Xenopus tropicalis: one gene and its partners. The protein of the gene in region 3 purifies or fractionates together with the protein of the main gene of each other region. This does not show direct contact. Links are inferred from orthologs where the notes say so. Each region holds a gene or a part of one and is shown on either strand. Other genes may lie near its edges.

Region 1 (3,654 bases), on a different chromosome or scaffold from region 3:
GGCCCTTTAGTGTTTAACACCTAAAAAGGAAAGCAAAGGCTTGTTTTTATTGTGCGTGTTCAATTTTTCTAACATATAAAATAGTTTATACCTTTATACCTTTAAAACTTTAACATTATTGCACCCCCTCCCTATGGTCATTGAGATTACTATAAATTAATACAAGTTTTATTGTAATTAAGGCACTGATAAATAAGCATAAAAAAGCTAAGGCTGATGGACCATGGGGAGATTAGTTAGATCAGTTAAATCTCAGCTACTGCAGGCGACTAATCTTCCTAAAATGCCTTCCCACCAAATATAAAGTGAATCGCCGGCGAGAAGGCATACATATCGCTTTGTTTTCTGAGGTCGCTTAAAGTTTCCTCTTGCAGGAAATTTTACTTTATTGCCTGTGGAAAGGTATTTCAGGGAAATTAGTCACCCACGGTAGCCGAGATTAACCGCAGGCAACTAATCTCCCCATGAGCCATTGCCCTACCAGCAAGTAAACTTTCAGTCAAAAGATTAGAATCCTATACCAGGTCTATGCTATTTGTTCATTACAAAGAGCAATTTCTTTGTTTCAGTTCTAGCTGTTGTTAAGTGTAGGCTGTGTGACTCCTCTTCACCTGTCCAGGGCTCTATGCTCAGTCATTTAGTGTGGCATAAGACAGCCAGAATAGCAAGAATAGATAAGAACTTGATAGAGGGAAGTACTTGCCTTGAAATATTGTGTATAGAGTGTAAGCCCTTGGCCTTGCCACTTTAATAAATATGGCAACACCCCGCAAGCAACAATCCACAATTAGGTCACATGAAATAATAATTTGGTCTTTTACTCAGGCAGCCAGTTCAAACCACTTCAGATTTTCTGTTGCAGTCTTTCAGTTTCACAAAGCCGACAAACGATGCACATCCACAAATCATAGAGATTGCATGCAACACAACAGCAATAGATACCCATTACTATTGCATTAAGAAGAGTGTACCTTGTATAGTTCTCCTTATATCCAGCAATATCATCATTTGGTGACCTTAGTCTTCGCTGGGAGGGAGTTTCCAAATGCCAGTAGTTGATGCGATTCAGGAACATTTTAGCCAGCTCTATGATAGTCTGTCTTTCTTTGGAAGGCAAATGGCTGAACTTGTACTGTACAAAATTATTTACACCCTTTAAAGAAAGTAAATACAGAGATGCACAGTGAATATAGTCTTCATGTTTTCAGACTACCTAGAAAGAAGATAACACAGATTTTGTTTTCTTGACCCCTGCCTGAAAAAAACGTGAGCAGTGTAGAAAGTAATTTGCTCTGTAATACAGACTCTGTTACTTGCTGCTGATCAGCTCAGTTCTGCTTGGCTACAATTAAGGCTGCCATCCAGATACTGATGCCCCAGTAAAGGTGGCCATACACTGTAAGATCTACAGGTGGGCGATATCGGGGTAATTCAATTAATTAAAACGGCAGGCATAGGCGACGTTGGTTCGGGAAGCGCATCAACTAGCCAATTCGGTCCCCAAATTGGTCTAAAGGACTGATATCAGCACCTAAAATCGGCCCATGTATGGCCACCTTTAGGCTTTAATAAGCCAATACTGAAAACTGGTCATTACTGTACATTGTTAAATTATTGTGCATGGCATGTGGTAGCTTCATAGTGTGGTGCAGAATGCAGAGAATGGGTTCTCAGTCAGCACACTTAGGTTAAATTGACTATAAAGAAAATAAATGAATGAGAGATGGTAGTTATATTTGCCCTTTAAACACTTTAGTGACCTAGAACTAGGAATTCTTCCCACTATCATTCTAGAAGAATAAGGTTATAATGACATAAAAAGCATTGTCAGAAAATTTTGGATTTTTTCTTCTAAAGCAACACACATTATTATATCTACTAAAAGAGAATAATGTAGGATTTTGCAGATTTGCCATTGGTTATGTGTTTATATCGCAAAAGGTCCAAAAACACGAATATGTAATGTAAGGACAAGAGTGTTCCCAATGTAGTCACTGCTCACTAAAGGGGTTGTCCACCTTTAAATTAACTTTTGTATGATGTAGACATGATATTATAAGATAATTTGCACTTGTTTTTTAATTTTGTTTCCTTTTGGTTTATCAGTTATTTGGAATTTAGCAGCTGTTTTCTAGGGTCCTGTTTACCATAGCAACCAGACAATTTGAATGAGAGACTGAAATATGTTTTGGAGAGGGACTGAATAGAAAATTACGTAATAAAAAGTAACAAAAATAATAAAATTGTAAGTTCACAGAACAACAGTTTTTTGGCTGTCGGGGTCAGTGACCCACCCCCCCCCCCCCCCCCCCATTGAAAGCTGGAAAGATAGAGAACAAAATGGCAAATAATTCAAAATCTATAACAAAAAAATAATAATAAAGACCAAAGTTGCTATGAAAAGGACATTTTATAACTAAAAAATAATATCAGTGATATACATCCCTCTACAGCCCAAGATTTCCAAAAGTTGCCTTGTTAAGAAAACACCACTTTCTAAGGAATAAACAATTAGACACTGATTAACAGCCTGGAACTTTGATAAGTACAAAAAGAAATACAAATATACATACATTAAAAAACTAAGGTAGGTAGGAAAAGATGTCAGATCCCCATTACCTGCTCAATACTAGGCTTCTCAAATGGAGGGGAACCCAATGATCCTTCCACTGCAGGTTTCACCATTTGCAGGATACACTTCCTCAAAAGCTGAATAGAAGAAGTATGTACATGCTTTATTCTTAGTTGGTAAGATACATTTCAGCAATAGAATAAAATGTAACTCTAAACCCACACATGACTATAAAATAATGCTCTCTTCAGCTATAATTTCATTCCCTGTTTTTACTTCCAAACAAGTTGGCAACTGTTTTGTATTGAGCTGTAGTATTTAACAACAGTTGTGGTTTAGAAAAAACTACCCATGGTGCACTGAGCTGAACTTATTCTGACATACCCTAACATGAGAGCCAGCATTACCCACAATTTCCTTATAGTCGGGCCATGCCTCCCAACTGTCCCGATTTTCAAAAGACAGTCCCAATTTTGACAGCTTAGCCCGCAGTCCCAGATTCTTTCTAAAAAGTCCCTCAAGCTAAAAAAGATACAATCTTTCTCAAACTTAATTAAAAAAGTAGCTTTTGGCAGAAAGCCCAGAAAAGTTAAGAAGCTACACATGCACTTAGATACAATTGTAACTAATAAGCTAAACAGGTTTTTTGTTTTTTTTTGCAAAACACAACAAGACCCCCAAACCCCCAGAAATGTGTTCAAACTTTAAATAACCTGCTATATTTTGTAAAATGGGAGTGGTATTTTAGGAGGTGTGGTTGCAAAAATGGGCGTGGTCAAAAATGTTGTCCCTCTTTGCATTTTTCAAATGTAGGGAGGTATGTACCCGCAAACAAAAGAGGAAAAGTGGGTGGCTAAAATTAGTACAAAATTATTTGTGTGCACCACAATATGGTGTATGTCCTGAACAGAAAATTTGCCTTTTAGTAGTCCCATAATACAGGGTTAGACATCTGTGTCCAACATACCTGCTTGTCTAATGTAAGTAATAAAGAGGCCTTACAACTATCATAATTTTAGCCTAATGTTTTATTCAGCAATATTTGTGGGTTTTGGTATTCCTAGCACTAAAAGGTTCACACA
Region 2 (3,654 bases), on a different chromosome or scaffold from region 3:
TGTAATGAAAAAGAGCCAGGTGATTTAATTTAACTGTCATGGGGAACAAAGCAACTGACAAAATTAGCCATGAATGAGAGGTTTTAGATTGAAAAACATACCAACTTCAAAAAGAGGAGACTTCTATTGATAATATTTACACAGCCATTAAATTGAACAAAAAATGCACATACCAGTATGTGTTCTCAGGTGGGCTTTTAAATGGGATGACTTTGTATACACCTTTGTGCACCCTGCAATAGAAGAGTAAAAAAGCATGGTGGTTATCATTGTGAATGAACATTTCACGAAGCAACAGCCCAGAGAACATCGCTAACACTCTGTCTACCATTAAGGCATTTAATGTATTCTTTTGCAGGATACTCGCAGCTATGATGCCAAAAGCAGCCCCCGCATTTTTAAGGCAATGCCCCCCCCCCCCAATTCACTTCTATAACAATTGCCAGGTATAGTGCAATCACTTTCCAAACAAAAATAGCCTGACTGCGCAGTGCAATTTCCAAAGAAGTGTAGGGGCAATTTTTCAGTTTCTTGTCCCCATTTTGCTAGCTACTATATACCTCTGGGAACAAAATGATTAAAATCTCGCCATGTGCCATAGCCCTTAACAAGAGTAAAATACTACATATGAAGAATCTGAATTCCTTGTGGGTTTTCTGTGTAAAGAAAAAAAGAATTCCTCAAAGTTGCAACAGGTGTAGTTTTTCAAATGCCAGAGCAAGTATATTTATTCCTATTGAGCGGACTTATTTATCAAAGTTATTCAGAGCTTTAGATATCCATCTGCATTCTTGCATTCTAAAAATACCTAGGGAGATTCCAGAATTATAAGTACAGCGCAGTTTATTATTACTTTGGCATTTGCTGTTGCTAACATGAAAGTGACACATTTGCTTCTGTGCATTGCTTGGACTCTCTGCTACTTTTATCATTTTCTTTCTGTTCCTAATGATTAACTTTCACATTAAAAGGCTGTCCTAACTCATGCACAATTAGTGCTGGCATCCTCAAGTCTCACTGAAAACACCTTTCATTTCCTTTACATTTTTACATCCCTTATGTATAAGGGTTGGAATCTAAATCATGATGACTGCATAAGGGTGCAAATAAAGCACTACTGACCGAGTCAGTTCCTAATTTGCTTCACTATGCTAAATTCAGCACTATGCTGGTGACCCTCAATGGATAGGGAGCAGGGATGATCTGTGTTGTTTTCGACCTGTTCAACCTCAGACTGACCACTGACATAATGGCGAAGCATTTAAAATATGTAGAATTCACTAGAAAATGTGTATATATCTCAGGAAGTATGCACCAAAAGTCAGTGTGAGCCTACAGAAGGCCCAGAGATAACATTTATCCAAGTGTGCATAAACTTCATATAGAAAGTTCTCCACACAGAAAGGTCTCCTATGTTATACAATGCTTCAAAATATGAAACTCATTTGTTAAAATTATTTCTTAGTTAATATATAGTCATTTCTTTTCATATATGCTATATAACTTAATCCAGTTTGAAACATGTCGTACAAATAACCCCGGTTTATTTTTCATATACAGAACAACCATATTTGTCCTGGAACTATTACTTATTGAAGTAGTATCTCCTTTAATCTCTTTGCCCAGTGTTGCACTGTAAAGGACTGGGGTTTTAGATAAAGAATGCGAAAAGCAAAAGCACATTGTAGATTTAAAGACACAAGTTAAACATTAACGTTAAAATAGCAGGATGCTTATAAAAATCTTGTTATTCCTATTAAATCATCTAACTGCTCTAAATTCAACAAGGTTAGAGGTAACCTGACTTGGTGATGACGTTCTTTACACAAAATGGAGCCCTATAAACCTGACAGATTTTACTTTAAATAAGTGCTGTCAAAGTACAGTTTCGCCACAGTGACATATATAACCCAGATTCTTGCATGCGCATGTCCATATACAGGTGGAACATGCACAACTATACACACAGGTCAGATGGGTTTATTATTGTACAGGTTCCATCTCTGCAGTTTTTATGCAAAATTCTCACTATTCTCCATGTCGGACAAATCCATTTCATTATAATCACTAGGGGTACCAGTACTGTTAATGCTCAGTCTCTGCTAAAACATACAGTACTGCAGCACCTGCTCATATTTTTAAATACAAATATTCAGAGAAGGAATGTATTGTGTAAAGAATATATCATGGTCTCATTCATATCCAACTATCTAATGAACAAGAAATATGCACCCTATAAGTAAAGGAGAACTAAAACCTAGAAATGAATACTGCTAGACATGTTTATTTACCAAACTTGCTTTATTAGCCCAAAAGTTTAGCAGCTGTAGGACAGGTCTTAAAAAGTTGTCCATGGGAGCTCCCCATCTTAATCATTTGTGTATCTGTGGCACTGCATGTACTCAATGGGGCTGGTATTGGCAAGCTAAGCAAGTAAAAAACACTACCAGAAAGTTAAAGTTGTATATGTCAAAGTTGGTGATGCTACACAGCTGATTAAATTCAGAATACCTTGGTTTCTCTGCTGTTGAGTAATGTGAATTAATTACCAATAATCCTTGAATGGTGGATTTTATATTATTGTAGTGTATAGTGTATATATTATTTATTGTGCACATGTCCCTAAGCTGAGGTAGCTGAAAGTAGCCCAGAGCATGTGCGCATATTCAAAGGCACAGACCTTCATTGCTAAAGGGCTATGGCTAGTGGCCCTGGGCTAGTACAGAAGCCCAAAACATAAGGCATTGCATGTCTAGACACATTCTTTGTTAAGCTTTAGCTCTCCTTTAAGCTTTTGATTAAGTCAGTAGACCGTTACCTTGTATAAACCCCTGAACAATTACATGTAGGTTCTTACCAGGGTAGTCACAATAATGTATGCGCCTTTTCTCCAGATCTGGGTTGTTTCTACGGTTGTAGCGTACAGATTGTATAGCAGGGGCTGTTATTTGCACCTGTGCAGGTAAGGGTGGATTGTGAATGGCCATCTTGGATGCTATCGTGGCTGCATAAGATGGTGGAGGGTTTAAACTCTGGAGAAGCTCTGCTTGCCTATCTGGGCTGCCTGGTTCAGAGCTAGGAGGAGAAGGTGGAAAGTAGGTTCCTTCTTGCTGGTGCAGAAATTGGCTAGGCATGCCATATGAGCACTGAGGGATGCTCTGGAATTGTTTCATTGCAGTCTGTTGTACTGGAGAAGAAAGTGTATTAAAGGCAGACATGTCTGTGGCCATGGAAGCACTATTAATAGTGTCCATAACTGAGGGTTGGTTTGTGGAGTTAGACATATCAATGTCTGGCGAACTTAAAAGCTGGTATAACTGGCCCTGCTGAGGATTGACAGAGAGCGGAAGCTCTGGTGAAGGGAGCTCTTGTTTGATGTAGATGTTATTAACATCTGCGTTTTGGTGGGAACTGAAGATGCTGGTGAATTCAGGAAGACTCTGTGTGGGTTCAGCATCACTTGAGTGGCTAAATACTGAAGTGGGCTCTGTCTTGATATGGGTCACGGGTGGCCTCTGGCTCTTATACAGGCTTGTTCTTAAGTGAGTGATATCAGGAAGGAAGACATTCATGTTTATACTGTAAGGAAGTCCATCACTCTCATTAAAAAACTGATCAACACCTGATGCACTGTCTCGCCTGTACTTTTTTAAA
Region 3 (4,195 bases):
TTAACCCTCATACAGGCATCTTGGTGGCTCCTACCTGCTGTAGTTGGCCACCATTGTCAGTTGCTCAGGTGATAATTACCCCAAAACCCTCGCTGCCCCCTGGGAAGGGCGTCCCACAGTGCTTACATTCCATGGCCCATAGCAGGGACCCAAGTTGTAGCAGTCAGTGATTTTTATTTTTATTTTTTTTGGGGGAAAAAAAAACTTGTCAGGCCAAAATCAGAATAAGTTATAAAGCCACTGGTGTTGGGCTGGTGTGGGGGTATATACACTCATTTGTATTTATTAGCAGGAGCCTGCCATACTAGTACTGGGGGGGGGAGGGGTCAGTTGATTCCCAAATATGCGGGGGGGGGGGGGGGGAAATGTCTGTGATGTCACTGTGAGAGAAGGAGACGGTTGGGTCGTTTGGAGGTGAGGCGAGAGGGTCACTGAGAGGTCACATGCATGATATTAGGCAAATGAGGGGGGTATTGAAGGGGGGGGTTGGGGTATTTAGATCATGGCAGGAATACACAGGAAGGTGGGAAATGGGCAGGGCAGGCTTTGTTGTGATTGAGCTGTGCCCCCAGTGGCATGCAATGGGTTAAAAGATAGGGGGTGTTGACTTGCGAGGCTCAGCTGCCTCCAGTCCATCAGGAGGGGGAGGAGGCAGGAGGAGACACGGCTGTAGAGTTTGCAGCATTGAGCGGTGTGTGTGTGTCACGGGGATCAGTCCTGAGAGGAACAGTATTCCCCCAATGCGCCTCGGCCCATTACAGGAGAGCAGGGAAGCCCCTCCGCCGCGTTACCAGGAAACCGGGCATCCCCATTCTGCATGGAGCCTCCATTCTGCCTAGTAACCCACATACCCAGGGAAGCCTGCAGGAATACCTCCGTCTGACCAGGGATCCTTCAGTCTGTGGCACCGGTCGCCCCTGGGGGTGCAAGGATAACCGTCCCCATTAGCATTGATCCTAACAAGGAGCCCGTTGTGCTAACAAGGAGATCCCACACAGGAAGTTGTGCAGATTCTGCAGCAGGAGAAGTTGACTGGGGGTCCATAGAGAGACCTTCCATTACAGGGCAACCCCCTTCCCCCTGCTGAGAAGAATTGCCCCTTATCTCACACTATCTGCCTGCAAGGACTCCAGCTGCCCCTGTAGGGATTGGGAGCTGATCCCCAACAGATTTGGCCTAATTAAGACTTATAGGTAAGGGATCGACATGCCGGGCAACCCTTTTAATCCCCTGCCACTCTCCCTGATCCCCAGCCAAACTGGGTGCCCCCCAAATTAAGTGGTTCGGAGTGGGGGTTCTGCCCCCGTTGTGCTGTGCCAGGGATTCCATGACTTCAGCCGGAAGAACAACAGATTGAGAAGCAAAAAATTGGGCTACGCTGCAGCATGATGGAAAGGGCATGTAGGGTTCTGGGACACAAGGAAAGGCTCTGCACGGACCACCCTATATGCAGCTAGTGGGGTTCACGTTTTACACCCAGGACTCCCCCCCCAGTTCCAGTTATTTGATGGAATCCGTGCGGAGAGTCTCCCATGTGATATTCCCAGCGGATCTGCCTGCAGAAGCCCATCCCTGCATTTCCCACCGACTTGGAGAATCTCCAATGGCTCTGCTGTGGGATTCCTCCTAAGTCCATAACAATTTCCTACCGGATCTTTGGGGTTTTTCCCCCCCTATTACCCTAAAAATTCCAATTCAACCCCAGACTGCTGAATTCTCTTCCACCCCCCCATTTTTTTTTTTCTTTTCTTTTTGTTATATGGTGAATTTGGAAGGGATTGTAGGATGTACGAGAATGTGGACGTTCCTGGTTTGGGCACTAGCCCGACGCACTACCATATGATGGATTTCTATAGCCAGAACCGGGCTTGCCTATTGCAGGAGAAAGGACTCGGGACCATGCATCCCTACGGGACGCCACTTCGAAGTCAACACTGGAGCAGTTCCAACCACTGTACGTAGGTGATACCCTCTCCACAATCCCCGTCCCTTGTACCGCGGCGGTGCCGCTCGCGCCTGGCTTATTGTTCTTATTTTATTATCAATTTGACAATTTTATTGCCCATTATTCTCGTAGAAGACATCTGTAATTGTGGCACGTTAATGCCTATGTCCAGATGCGCCGCGGCAACATCTGTACGGATAATGCTCTGTATAAATAATCCCAATCTATAACGTGCGCCGAACAATAGTCTCTTTGCGCCGCTCGTAGAGTTGGATTATCCGTCTGTCCTAATGGGAAGATCTTTGTTTTGCTGTTTGTCCTGCAGTGGAGACAATGGCAAACAAATTCTTTCTAGACTGTTGTGGGTGGGACTGTCTCTAGACCATGACAAGATAACCTCATTTACCGCTAGTAGAACGTTCTAGCCGGAGACCGTTTCCCTATACGGGGGCTGTTAGTAACGCAGGGAACTTACTGCTAGATAAGCGTTTAGGCCTCAATTGCGCTCGGATTGAAATGAATATTTTTTTTAATATCGCCAGTATAATAACAATAGCATCATATCTGGGCTATGCAGTATTCTCAGAGTAGCGCTTTATCCACAAACCTATGGGGGTTCTTCTGTTATGGAACTACAACTCCCAGCATGCCCTTACAAGCTTCACTTGTACAGGTCTAGTTCCTGTGTTACATTGCCTCTGGCTATTATTGGGTGAATGCAACTTAATGAGGGTAATGGAAATAAATGACAAATTATGTGTTTTGCATTTTCATGCCGAGCCGCGCTGTATCGTTTCAAAGCGGTTTATTTTCGTAAATGAATTTGGGCCCTGTCTTTGTAACGGTTCCGTGAGCGAGGAATGGGCCTCTGGGCCCACAATCCAGTTTGATAGTAATTAAGTCACCATTCCTGTCTCTCTGTAACTCTCGGGGCATAGGGGCAAAACTCAATGTAGTAATAACAATATCCTGCATAATACTATTTGATACAAACACTTAGGGTGAAGACACACTGGGCTACTTAGTAGCAGCTACTTGTCACGGCTACTAAACTCCAGAAAATCCCCTGCCATAGACAATACTGAGAATTGCCTCTGCTAAAGCACAAGTAGAGACAGTTATCAGTAAATGATCAGCATTGTCTGTTTCTGTCGCTGTGACAAGTAGCTGCTACTAAGTAGCTCTGTGTGTCTTCACCCTAAAACGTGGCTCCACTTAACTCTTCCTTTACCCCTCTGTGTAAAAAAGTATAGCCGGATATGCTGGTGGGCAGCAGTCGGATAACAATGTGGCTGCAGTGTATGGTATGGAGCATTAAAGGGCAACTGCACCCAAAAACTGTTTCGATAATGTAATCCTAAGCAACTTGCCGATATAAATTCATTATACATTCTAGTGGTTTTTTGTAATTGATAAATGAAATCAAAGCAGCATTTGGGCCTTCCTGTCCTCTGGGACTCTCACATGTAGCAGAAGTCCAGCCTCCTCCGGGGTATCCCTGCATTGTTTCAGTAGTCAGAACCAGCAGTGCAGCCAGATTGTGAAACCTTTTCATTACAGGGGTAGTTAACTCTGTTACAGAGTGGCCTATTCTTTGCAACTTTTTAGTTGGTCTTCATTTTTATTTTGTATAGTTTTTTAATTATTTGCTCCTTCTTCTGCCTCTTTCCAGCTTTCAAATGGGGGTCACTGACCCCGGCAGCCAAAAACCTATTGCTCTGTGAGGCTCCAGTTTTATTGTTATTGTTACTTTGTATTACTTACATTTCTATGTAGGCCCTCCTCTATCATATCTCTGTCTCTCTTTCAATCCACTGCCTGGTTGCTAGGTTAAATTGGACCCCAGCAACCGGATAGCTGCTGGACATACCAAACTGGAGAGTTGCCACTTAAAAACCTAAATAATAAAAAAAATAAAAGACCAACTGCAAATTAACTCAGAATAGTACTCTCTACATTGCACCAAAAGTTAATATAAAGGTGAACTGCCCCTTAATTGTATTTTTAATGCGGGCCGTGTATATGACTATTAGATTAATACAGTGGAGAATTAAAGGCACAGTGTAGCCAATACGCTCACGTCAGCACTAAAGTTTATTATGGTTACTTGTCCTTGATTTTGTGGGTTTGTGGTAGTATTTTGGGAAGCACTTTTTCCCATTGCTTCCTTCTCTTTACTCCAGGAAGTTCAATTTTCTATTGTAAGAAAGGACAGGAAGTTGGACATGCGTCTGAAAATGATGCCCCCGT

What was found. Proteins that work in one complex are often made in the same cells at the same time.
Region 1: the proteins of rara (region 3) and kat2b purify together in Homo sapiens (affinity purification with western blotting; 3 studies listed by BioGRID). This does not show direct contact. The link is inferred for Xenopus tropicalis from reciprocal best matches to the Homo sapiens genes RARA and KAT2B.
Region 2: the proteins of rara (region 3) and klf5 purify together in Homo sapiens (affinity purification with western blotting; 4 studies listed by BioGRID). This does not show direct contact. The link is inferred for Xenopus tropicalis from reciprocal best matches to the Homo sapiens genes RARA and KLF5.

The regions. Positions count from the first base shown.
Region 1 is NC_030682.2:45,629,612-45,633,265, reverse strand, and holds part of kat2b (histone acetyltransferase KAT2B), read right to left. Parts: intron 2,710-3,654; coding exon 2,620-2,709; intron 1,154-2,619; coding exon 972-1,153; intron 1-971. UniProt on the Homo sapiens protein: Functions as a histone acetyltransferase (HAT) to promote transcriptional activation. Has significant histone acetyltransferase activity with core histones (H3 and H4), and also with nucleosome core particles.
Region 2 is NC_030678.2:127,154,956-127,158,609, forward strand, and holds part of klf5 (Krueppel-like factor 5), read right to left. Parts: coding exon 2,858-3,654; intron 234-2,857; coding exon 174-233; intron 1-173. UniProt on the Homo sapiens protein: Transcription factor that binds to GC box promoter elements. Activates the transcription of these genes.
Region 3 is NC_030686.2:8,757,959-8,762,153, reverse strand, and holds the start of rara (retinoic acid receptor alpha), read left to right. Parts: upstream 1-1,289; 5' UTR 1,290-1,785; coding exon 1,786-1,954; intron 1,955-4,195. UniProt on the Homo sapiens protein: Receptor for retinoic acid. Retinoic acid receptors bind as heterodimers to their target response elements in response to their ligands, all-trans or 9-cis retinoic acid, and regulate gene expression in various biological processes.